3 linked regions of the Oryctolagus cuniculus genome follow. The protein of the gene in region 1 binds, or shares a complex with, the protein of each later gene. Links are inferred from orthologs where the notes say so. Each region holds a gene or a part of one and is shown in the gene's direction. Other genes may lie near its edges.

What was found.
Region 2: KIF11 (region 1) and MYSM1 share a complex: the UniProt entries of both Homo sapiens proteins name them as parts of the large chromatin remodeling complex. The link is inferred for Oryctolagus cuniculus from reciprocal best matches to the Homo sapiens genes KIF11 and MYSM1.
Region 3: KIF11 (region 1) and RBM10 share a complex: the UniProt entries of both Homo sapiens proteins name them as parts of the large chromatin remodeling complex. The link is inferred for Oryctolagus cuniculus from reciprocal best matches to the Homo sapiens genes KIF11 and RBM10.

The regions. Positions count from the first base shown.
Region 1 is NC_091446.1:37,973,066-37,976,565, reverse strand, and holds part of KIF11 (kinesin-like protein KIF11), read left to right. Parts: intron 1-83; coding exon 84-256; intron 257-2,808; coding exon 2,809-2,934; intron 2,935-3,013; coding exon 3,014-3,172; intron 3,173-3,500. UniProt on the Homo sapiens protein: Motor protein required for establishing a bipolar spindle and thus contributing to chromosome congression during mitosis. Required in non-mitotic cells for transport of secretory proteins from the Golgi complex to the cell surface.
Region 2 is NC_091438.1:114,346,478-114,350,484, forward strand, and holds the start of MYSM1 (deubiquitinase MYSM1), read left to right. Parts: upstream 1-1,207; 5' UTR 1,208-1,258; coding exon 1,259-1,323; intron 1,324-4,007. UniProt on the Homo sapiens protein: Metalloprotease with deubiquitinase activity that plays important regulator roles in hematopoietic stem cell function, blood cell production and immune response.
Region 3 is NC_091453.1:32,690,696-32,694,692, forward strand, and holds the start of RBM10 (RNA-binding protein 10), read left to right. Parts: upstream 1-1,197; 5' UTR 1,198-1,261; coding exon 1,262-1,331; intron 1,332-2,949; coding exon 2,950-3,091; intron 3,092-3,997. Other genes in the region: NDUFB11 (NADH dehydrogenase [ubiquinone] 1 beta subcomplex subunit 11, mitochondrial), read right to left, coding at 306-512. UniProt on the Homo sapiens protein: Binds to ssRNA containing the consensus sequence 5'-AGGUAA-3'. May be involved in post-transcriptional processing, most probably in mRNA splicing. Binds to RNA homopolymers, with a preference for poly(G) and poly(U) and little for poly(A).

The DNA.
Region 1 (3,500 bases):
ATTTTGGTAACCTCTTTAAAGTGGTTCTAACTGCTTAAGTATATTTATGTCGTTTTATATTTTTATTTATTTTTTTGTTATAGGTAATCTGCTGTCTTCCAGTGTCTTTGCGTTAGACACCATTACTACAACAGCACTTGGATCTCTCACATCTGTTCCAGAAAATGTGTCTACTTGTGTTTCTCAGATTTCTAATATGATACTGAAAGAACAATCATTAGCAGCAGAAAGTAAAACTGTACTACAGAAATTGATTGTTAGTAAATCTCTTAAAATATTTTTAAGGGTTACATTTGTTAAGTCTTTAAAGCAATATTAACTGGTATTCTTTCATCTTCAGCTTTGTTAAATAGTGACACATGTATCACTTCAAGAATTTATTTTTTTAAAGATTTATTTATTATTTGAAAGGCAGAGTTACACAGAGAGAGAGGCAAGGCAGAGAGATCATCCATCTGCTGTTTCACTCCCCAGATGGCTGCAATGACTGGAGCTGGGCCAATCCAAAACCAGGAGCCAGGAGTTTTTTCTAGGTCTCCTACGTGGGTGCAAGGGCCCAAGTGCTTGGGCTGTCTTCTGCTGCTTTCCCAGGCACATTAGCAAGGAGCTGGATTAGAAGTGAATTAGCTGGGACTTGAACCAGAGTTTATATGGGGTGCCAGCACTGCAGATGGCAGTTAACCTGCTTTGCCACAGAACTGACCTCTGTCTATATATATATATATATATATATAGTTTTATTTTATTTATTTATTTTTTTTGACAGAGAGAAAGGTCTTCCTTCCATTGGTTCACCCCCCAAATGGCTACCACGGCCGGCACGCTGTGCCTATCCAAAGCCAGGAGCCAGGTGCTTCTCCTGGTCTCCTATGCGGGTGCAGGGCCCAAGTCTTGGGCCATCCTCCACTGCCCTCCCGGGCCACAGCAGAGAGCTGGACTGGAAGAGGAACACCTGGGACTAGAACCCGGCGCCCATATGGGATGCTTTTGCCACAGGCAGAGCATTAGCCAAGTGAGCCACAGCTCTGGCCTCTCTGTTTATATTTTTAAAGACCAATCTCTGCATTGTTTTTTTTTTTCCTCCCAGGAAGATTGATTTCCAAATGTGTATAACCAACATTTGAAAACTTTTACTCATATTTTATAGTGTTAACAAGTAGGAGTTATTTATAAACTTTTTAATGACTAAAGAATTCTCGGAATACATTTAAAATTCTTGGGGTTAGATCTGTGTGACCAAGCCCTTCTGGATCTTATAACTAAATTTTTTTTCCCCACAGTTCTGTAGAAGTCACTAACCTAATTGCAGTTAATATTGCCTCCTTGATACATGACTTACATATATTCTATTTTGTATTTGCAAGGTTTGTCTAGGCAGTTTGCCATTGCACTAATTTTGTTCTTTCCTTCATACAGGTTCTCTGCCTCCCTTTTTGAGGTTAACAATATTTTTATTAAACATTTTCCAAGTAAATATTAGAAATATCAGCTGATCTGCTTAGGTTCATGCAATGTAACACTATTTGATAGGTTTCTTCAATCTAAATGACCACTTTAAAGTGAGCATGTTGCCTCTCTTATAACTTGATACAAGTTGCTTCTTTCTAGGAGGGTATGAATGGTTATTATCTTTAATCTGAATTTGACAAAGTATTCAGTTAGCATTAACTTTCTAGAAATTGATTGATTCAGATATTGTGGTCTGTATTTATTGATGTCTTCCTGTGTACCAAGTTAAAGACATTACTTGAATCAAAAGAAGAGATGACTGCTGTTCTTACAGAATTAATTGTAATTAGTATGATAGCTCTTCCTTCCAAAAGATTACCAGTGGCCTTTTAAAAAAGTATTTATAAATTATTTCTATTATAGATTTTCTGTTTTTATTTTTTTTTCCTCTGCCCTGGTGAAAAGATCTTTACTCTGGATTTTTTGTTTTTCATGAAACTTCCCAGTCTGCACTTTATTATTTACTTTTCATATGCATTGACAAGTTTAAGAACCTTAACAGGTTCTGATACAATAGGATATAAGTCAACAATCTCCAGAGTTAAATACCTCCATCCCAAAGCCTACTCATGATGACTTTTTGGTCTTGGTCTTTTTGACAAATGACTTAAACTTGTTTGAAATTTTTAAAATTTTCTATTTGGAATACTGAAATCTTACCAATTCATTGTCACTTTTTTCCTTTTTTGAATTCTTCTAACATGTGTTTCATTAGACTCTTTAAGAATTTATTGTAGGTGCGCACCGCGGCTCACTAGGCTAATCCTCCGCCTGCGGCGCCGGCACCCTGGGTTCTAGTTCCGGTCGGGGCACCGGATTCTGTCCCGATTGCTCCTCTTCCTGTCCAGCTCTCTGCTGTGGCCCAGGAGTACAGTGGAGGATGGCCCAAGTGCTTGGGCCCTGTACCCCATGGGAGACCAGGAGAAGCACCTGGCTCCTGGCTTTGGATCAGCGCGGTACACCGGCCGCAGCGGCCATTGGGGGTGAACCAACGGCAAAAGGAAGACCTTTCTCTCTGTCTCTCTCTCTCTCACTGTCCACTCTTCCTGTCAAAAAAAATAAAGAAAAAATTTATTGTATACTAAGTGACCATTAATTACTAGAGGCAGAACTAAGGGGGTTTACGCTGAATGTAAACACTAGGCATATAGATACATCTCTGTAGGCTATGAAGAACAGAGAATGTAAACTTAGAATTTTAATGTGTATGTTTTTCAAAAGTATTTTAAATGTAATCTAACCATCCAGGCTATGAAAATACGCCTTTTAAAAGATCTGTTTGTTTATTTTTAAAACTAGAATGTACTTAAGACTGACCTCCTAAGTTCACTGGAAACGATTTTATCCCCTACTCTGGTGTCTATATTGAAAATCAATAGTCAGCTAAAGCATGTTTTCAAGACTGCATTGACAGTAGCTGATAAGGTAACAAATGTTATGTTCTTAATTATCTCAAAATTACTTTATTGTTTTAGAAAGAAGCTAATATTTTTTTTTCTCAAAGATAGAAGATCAGAAAAAGGAAATGGATGGTTTTCTCAGTACGCTGTGTAACAATCTACATGAACTGCAAGACAATACAATTTCTTCCTTGGTTGAATCACAGAAATTATGTGAAAACTTAACTGAAGACTTGAAAACAATAAAGCAAACGCACGCACAGGTATCTTGTCTGGCTGACTTGGGAAGTGGAAAAAGAAAGTCTTATGATAACTTGTGTCTTAATAATCTATGTTACACAAGCTGAATGCTGTAAAACTAATATAGAACCTGAAAATATTATAGCCACCGTTGCCTATAGCAGTAATTAGTATAAAATAACTGAGAATATTTCTCTTGATTAGTTAATATTTGAGGTTTTGCTACACGTGGTATCCTATGCTGAAGTGCAATATGACAAACCAAACAGTCCTGTTCCTATACCAAAATGAAAGATGATATGGGTGAAACATATCTTTAGAGGCAAATGGTTGTAACATTTAAAGTGAGCG
Region 2 (4,007 bases), on another chromosome or scaffold:
CTGGCTTTCAGCAATGGCGGAGGGGGCTAAAGCTTGGGATGTAAATCAGGGTGTAGATGGTGCCATAGATGAAACTGGCGTCCAGTTTCCTAACACAGTACCCTTCAGACTGAGATTTTCCATCCGGCCAGAAGAGTAGCCACCATTCCTGGCTTTACTCAGGAACAGACACTAATCTTTTCCATGGGTACTTCTCTGTGTATCCACACTTCCTTGAAGTTAGAGACTTTCTATCTTGTATTCCCCCAAATCTAGAGCGCCGCTTTCAGAATCTGACCAATCATCGAACTCTTCCGAAGTATGGTACAGGGGCGGAGTTCACTCCAGCTAAGCCGCCCCTCCTCTGTGATCCCCTATGAGCCCCGAAGTCTTGCCAGGAAGCTTATTACCTCGCCTTGAAATCGCCTGCTTGAGCGGCTCTTTGAGGGCAGACGCTGAGTCCATCTTATTCAATGCCATTTCCTCAGCACAGGAGGAATGCAACAAGTATTTCTGAAATACTAATTCATTCTGCTTCCAAACTACTTGATGAGAAACATGGGTCTTGCCACAAGTCCCAGGGTTGCAGGCCTGTAGAACGGGACAGTTTAAACAGACCAGGCCTCTGGAGTTCACCTGAAGGTGAGGGTGCAGCATCATCCTGTCGGGTGGGGTTAGCCTAGACCCTCAGAGAGCCAGGTCCACATCAATCTAATTAGCCCAGAGCATAGTGTGGGGTATGTTGGTCGAGGGGTTGAGGACAGACTTCATATTATCGTCTCTGGGGAGGGAGGGCTTGAAATGACTTGGGGAAACTGAATTCTGGCCAGGCCCTTCCTTGCTTCCACTGATGCCTGGGCTGGACCTGAAAACTCTTCATTGCTGCAGTGCAGGCGACACTGTTCACACGGTAGTGCATGTTCCGGGCTAGCAGGCATCTTTCTCAATGCTGTGATGTGTATCCAGGCAGTCCTGCCGGGCTCCCCATCCCCGCCTGCTCCGTAAAGATCAGTGATAGGCACCTTCATTTCACCTTTACTTTGACTATATACCCTACTTTCTGCCAATCCCCAATCCTACTCAACAGACATTTTAAAACAGCAACCTCAAAACCTTCCCGGGTCTCCGGGAACGCCTTTCCTCCGGAAGCCACGCCTCCCCAGCACGGAAGGGACTAGATGTGGCTCCAGCCCCGCCCCGTGACGCATTCGGCCCTGCCCCCGGGCTCTTCCCCCTCTCGCGAGATCTCGCGGGAGGACAGACGGGGTCAGGTCTCATCATGGCGGCTGAGGAGGCGGATGTGGATATCGAAGGGGATGTGGTGGCAGCAGCGGCACAGCCGGGGTGAGGCGGAGATCCTGGGTCTCTCCGGGGCTGGGCGGGGCGTGGAGGCGGGGAGAGGACCCAGGAGAGCCCACAGGTCCTACAAGAGATCAGGAAGGGGAATACATTCCCCAGATCTGGGTGTGCTGGCGGCCCGGAAGGCGCCGCGCCGGTTCCGCCGTCTGGCTTGCTCGGAGCCAAGCGTGTTGGTGCCTGGGGCTCAGGTGCTGAAGCGTCGGGACAGCTCTTTGACCTTTTACCGCAGTGCTGTGAGGGCGTAGTTTAACTAGCACGTTGCACTTGTTCCAACAGTTAGGTTCCTTCTGATGTTTCCATCTTTCCAGAATCTGGCCGCTGGACGAGACTTAGCTCAGAGACTCCAGTTCCTGGGTTGCAACCCCTAGGATCTTGAGCTAGTCGTTTCTCCCTTCTTCAACCTAGAGATAACCGTGAAAAACTTCCTGAGAAACTGCTTAAAGAGAGGGGGCCGGATTTTAGAGTTTGACAGTTCTGGGTTTTCCTTCTGCATTCGCTGGCCCTACCAGTTACCAGCAGTGTGACCTTGGGCGAGGCGCTTACCTTGTGAGCCTCGGACCGTTCGTTTAAATTGAGAATGATAATAAGTACCCCATAAAGTTGTTGTTGAAGATCAAATGAAATAATGAGCATATGGTAGGTGCCCTGTCATTGTGTCCTTTTCCAACCCGTTACCCTTCGGGATGGTAAGGGATGTGAGGATCCAGTGAGGGACCACACTTTGTTCAACACCGATTCCTGCAGAAAAGATCAGTGCGGTTTGAAACAGAACTTTCTTTGACTCCTGGGTCTGTAAGAAATGAGTCGTCTTTCAGTCATGGAAGAGATCTGCACTAGGTGGGAATCGGAAGAACCAGGTTCTCAATGCAACCAGCTATGTTGCTTATAAAATTGTCGACTTACTGGAATCTGAACTAAAGGAAATTGCCCAGTGTTAGATCATTTTTGACCTTTAAAGAGGCAATTTCATGTAACACAGCCTAATTTCAGGGCCCCTGAATAGGAGTACCAACCTGCCCATGAAGCACGAAGATACATAAATGTCTTACCCACTCCAAAGCATTGTAAAGCACTATGATGGTAATTAAACTCACACACCAGTCTCCATCAAATCTTTAGGCAAAGAAATCCAAAGCCTGTAACAAGAATAATTGTTCTTATTCATGTAGTGTTTAAATCCTGACCAAGTTCTTTTCCATGTTTGATATTTACTTTTCACAAGTCAGTAAGATAGGTATGCAGTCCAGAAAGAAGTGAGTTCTCATTTTGGAAATACTAAAGATTATCTGAGGATGCTGGCTGGCTTCTTCGGGGTTTATTTTAATTTTTCTCCTTTTTCTCTTTCTTTTCATCTTTCTGTTTTACTTGAGTCTTGGGTCTCCAGAGGCAGTGGTTACCTTAGTCTCTTACAGAGGTGATGGTTCCTGATGGTTAGACCCTTGGCCTTACACAACTCTAAGGAGCATTGTTAATAGTATGTTCTGATGATTAATGCCCAAGGTATTGGGGCTGTAGTCATACAGAATTTAGTGTGAATGGTATCCATGCAGTGTGTAGTTATAGCTGATGATAGCACCTGTGGAACCCTTGGAGATTGATTTAAAATATCCTGTCAAGTGCTTGCTAAGTGCTAGGTTTCAATGTTAAAAGATGGCATTGAAACTTTGAGTTTCCTTGTACTCTTACCAGTCTCATCCACCTTTCCTTCTGCTTGTTCTTTATCATTGTGTTAAAAGGGGTTTTGTAGGACTTATATATACTGATCACGCAGTTCCTGATGATACAATCTCTCAAGACCCACGATTTCTGTTACATTGAACCATCTGAAATTTTGGCAGAGGTTGACCATTTTTTTACCTACAAAAATGGTAGTTTTCCTACGTTCAACCTAGTACTTGCTGTTATTTCCCAAATCTTTGACCAACGTCGACCTTTCTTCTGAGCTTCAGAGTCATTTGCCCAGCTCTCTGAATCTGTCTGTACTTGGACTTTACACAGCATCTCCGTCTCAGCTTATAAATCTCCCCCACCAAACGTGTCTGCAGTGTTCCCTAATTCAGTACGTGGCACCAGAATCAACCCAGTCACCTAAGACACAGACCTAAGCTTCATCCCTTTTCCTAGTTTCTCTCCTTTCACTGCCCTCATCCTGTTGGTTATTAAGGGCCTGTTGTTTCTGTCTAAATATCTTTTCAGATATATTCACTCCCATTATATATTCAATCCTGTTAGATTGCTTGTTCCCTAGGTATAAGCTGTCACCTTTCTCCAATATTTTTATAGTTGCTTCCTCTTTGCTCTTCTGTCACCTTGGCCCCCTTCAGTTCTTTCAGGAAGCTAGTCTTTTATACAGATCTGATCATGTATTCCCTGCATTCTCCAGTTATTTTTAAATACGTGTGTGTGTGTGTGTGTGTGTGTGTGTATATATTCATTTTCTAACTAGTAGAGAACTTTGTGGTCCATGCCTCACATACCTTGTTCATTTCATTCACCAAATATGGGGTAGGCATTGTGACACAGCAGGTTAAACTGCCATCTGGGATGCCCACATCCCATATCAGAGTGTCTGGGTTCAAGTGCCACCTCCATTTCTGATCCAGCTTCCCACTAGTATACACACTGGGAGGCAGCAGATGATGGCTCAGGTACTGGGTCCTGGCCACCAT
Region 3 (3,997 bases), on another chromosome or scaffold:
ATAGACTGGCACCGGGCAAGCACCACCTCGGGGCTTTTAGTATTAGCATGGTTACCCTACTATATTGCTTCCAGAGTGTTTACGGCATTTCTGACTTTAGGTTTGCAAAATAAGGCCAACCCTGCCTCTGGCCCCGGACCGTAGGTATCAGGGGACAAAGGAAGAAAATAAGTAACCAAAATTCCCACGTCTTTAAGGATTTCGCCAGCTGCGCAATCCGCAGCTGCCTCAGAACGTCCTCTGCGGCGCCCCGTCCGCCAGTCCCCAATTGGCCCTTTCGGCGTTCCGTCCTCCCTCCCTCTCACCTTCTCATAGAGGTTGTCGTCCTCGGGATCTGGGTCCTCCTGCCAGCGTATGGTCGGTTCTGCAGGCCGCTTTCCCGCCACAGCGGACGGGGCGACCACAGCCCTGGAGGAGCTGGATTGCCAGCGAGCGCGGACAGCCGGGAGCGCTCGCGTAGCCGCTGCGGCCCAAAAGCGGCGAGCGCACAAACCTAACATCCCGGCCGCCATGACGAAGAGTGCGGCAGGGTCTCAGGGGCGGAACGGAAATGCGACTGTGCGCAGCTGCAGTTGGTCCGAGCGCGATAATTGTCGCTCCACCCCGCCACACTAAATAGGTCCCAGGTCCGATTTTGTTTGCAAGTGAGGCGGGGCGTCGAGGAAGAGCCCCCTTACCCTCCTGTTGTCATGGCCTCTTGAGAAATTTGCTATTGCTAGGTCTGCACATAACTTGATAGGAAGGAAACAGTGACATTTGGGTGGCCACGGCTTCCAGCCAATCGCCCAGAGAGTTCCCTTGCCCTTTAGGGAAAGAGGTGGAGCTTCCGCCTGCCTTTCATCTTCAAAGGAAGCCAAGCTTCTAAAAAGCGGGCCTCGCTGGATTGGCCAATAGCGACTTTTTCTCGACTTGTGGGGCGTTCTCACGGGGAGTGGGGAGGTGGCCTACGCGTGCCAATCAGAGGCGGCCAGGGCTGGCCGACGGCGAGCGGCGACCAATAGAAGAGGCCGGCCAGAGCGCGCTCCCTTAGTAGGTGGATGGTGGTCGGAGCGCCGGCTGCCTTCTTGTCGTCGCCATTTTGTGCTGCTGATTGCGGCCGGCTGGGAGTAGGCGGCCGTGAGTTTCCCTGGGAGGGCAGCGCACTTGGCGCTTCTCCCTTCTCCTGCCCCTCCTTTCTGCCTCCAGCTTTGGACTTGATTGTTGCGCGCTCCGGCTCCGACTGAGCTGGGAGACTTGGAGGAGGTGGCGGCGGGCCGAGGTGATGCCTGGGAGCCCTCCCTTGACAGCCCGGGCCGAGAAGGTGAGCGTCGACGCTGGTCGTGGGGGCGGAGGTAAGGGGTCCCGGGCGGGGGGTTGCACAGATGAGGCATTGAGGGCGGACTGCGGGCTCGGGGCACGCGTGGATCGCAGGGATGCGTGCACGGTCAGAATCCGGGAGGGGGTGTCTTCCCCCCCCTCCTTGTGAAATCTAGGGCGCGTGCGCGATTGGGACACGGGATGGGTGCACGCGGGCTGGGGGAAGGGAGGGACGGATGGGAGTGGGTTACTGTAGCTGTGTTTGCTTGCAGAACTTTATGCAGGTGTCTGCGACTTGGGTGTTTATCCATAGGGGAAGAGGTGTGCTGGCTGCTCTCTGTGATACTTTGGCACTTACCGATCCATGGGGAAGTGCTCGGCGGCTCTGGTCCTTATTCATGGGGCGGGCACTGAGGGGAAAATGTGCAACTCTGGCCTTTATCCTTGGCGGGGCGAGGGGCGACTCTGGTCCTTATCCGTGGGGGGGGGGGGCTACCCTGTGACGGGCCCTTACTCATTGGATGGGAGAGGGGTGCAGAAAGCGTGTGTGTGTGGTGGTGGGGGGGGGGAGAGACTTACCTCCCGTTCTTTTGAGGAGTTCATACCATTGAAACGGGGCTCTGTGTGTGATTAAGGCCCTCGCAGTGGGGTCTGGCTGTGATTTTGGCCAGTATCTGTTGTGGATGCCAGAGTCTGTTGAGGATTTCCCATCTGCCTTGCAATCGCCGGGGCCCCTGGTTGTGATTCTGACTTTACCCATTGGGAGCAGGTAACTCTGGTTCCCTGTGGTTTGGGGAGGAAAAGAAGATTGGTGTGTGTACATGGAGGAAAGGTGTGGTGGCGACGACCTCGTGTTGAGCAGGTGCTGTTACCCGCCTGGCTTCACCCGATTCCTGTTGAGAGGGAGGAGCCTGGAGATTGTGGGATACATTCCGACCCCTGCCTATGTTGTCACATAGTTATCAGGAGTCTTAGACCTTGCACAATCCCAAGGGTTGTATGAAGTGACTGCTCCAGCCCAGTAGAAAGGGCCTCCTTTTGCTTCTGGAACACTTGGGCTCAGAGCCCTAGGGAGCCAGCCACCTTGGGACCCGGCTGCACATCAGAGACAGGGCTGGGGGCTGAGCCAGTTGCCGTGCAAGAGCCAGGAGCCCAGGGAGGTAGCAGTTGTCCTGTTGCCGAGGTAGTCCCCTTCACACACACCTCCAGAGCCTTTCAGGGTGTCTTGCTGCCTCGCAGGGGGCAGCCAACATCTTGTTGGGAGAACGAAATGGTACCTTGGGGCTCATGGACAGAGCCCAGTGCCTGCCCGGATCTCCCACTATTGTAAAGTTTTGCCTCTGTGCCTAGACTTGAACATGTCTACCATGCTCAGATGGCAAAACCCTGGCCACACAATGACTGGCCCCACCAGGTCTCTCTGCAAGATGTCTCCTGTCTGATGAAGGCCTTGTCTTCCAGGGCTGTGGGCTCCAGTTTTGTGTTTGTGGGTAAAGGAAGGAGCAGCCCAAGTTGGGGCTGCCTTCTTGTAGCCTGATCCACACAAGCACTGGGCGTTGAAAAACAATATCCGTGGGCTACGGGACAGTAGAGAGCCTTGATAATGAGGGTTTCTCACTGCCTTGACCCCTTTCTTCCCTCTACTCTCCCCAGAATCCCTGCAGGAGGCATCACCCAGGCTGGCAGATCATGGTGGCAGCAGCGGGGGTGGCTGGGAAGTGAAACGGAGCCAGCGGCAGAGGAGGGGCCCCAGCAGCCCCCGCAGGTCCTATCAGGACATGGAGTATGAAAGACGGTGAGTTTTCTGCCCCCCCCCCCCCTTCCGAGGAGCCTCGGCTTGTCCCGGTGTGAGGATCCATCCAGGAAGGTGTGTCAGTAGGGGCCTTCCAAGCGGAGGATACAGTACAACAGGTGATTGGTTTCTTTTCAGCCGACGTGTGTTTGGCACCTGTTGTGAGACAGGATCTGTGCTAGGCTGTGAGAGTGCACTGATGAATGAGACAAATAAGAACGGCATCCCCTGTGCTCAGGATGTCACAAGGGGTGCCACACAGTTCATAACGGTTACAAAACAACTTGATGGGTAGTGTAGTTGGAGGTAAGGGCGGGAAGGGATCAAAAGAAAGGAGAGAATTGAGGCTGATGCCAGGTTTGCAGCTTGCGTGACCCGGATAGGTGTGTGGCACCATTCACCAAGGTGAAGGCAGACTCTGCAGGGGGAGGGGGAGGAGAAGAGGCAGGAGGTCAGGTCTGTAGACTTGGGTTTGAGGAATGGATGGGAATGCTGCCTTGAGTTAGGAATTTGGTCAGGCAAGCCAGGTCAGATAATGGGAGACTCCAGGGACAGAGGGGGCTGCACTGGGCATGATATTTTTCTTGAAATGGATACATTCACATGGTTATTTTTGTCAGCTGTGGTATGTGCAAGAAACAGTTGGAATGCTGGGTAAAATCCAGAAATCCTGGGTAAAATTCCGTAGTCCTTTGCTATCCTGGTGGGTCACCCCAGGTAATTGTGAGGCAGGTGATACACCCATGATATTTTAAGATTGCCTGAGAAACCAGATCTAACTCTCTCAGAAAGCCTCTATTAAGAATCAACGGATTTATAAAAGGGGTGAGGAGAATTGAAAGATAAAGCTTAAAATATTTTCAAAGGATTTCTTCTACCATTAGCCCTCTTAAAAATGGAAAACAATAT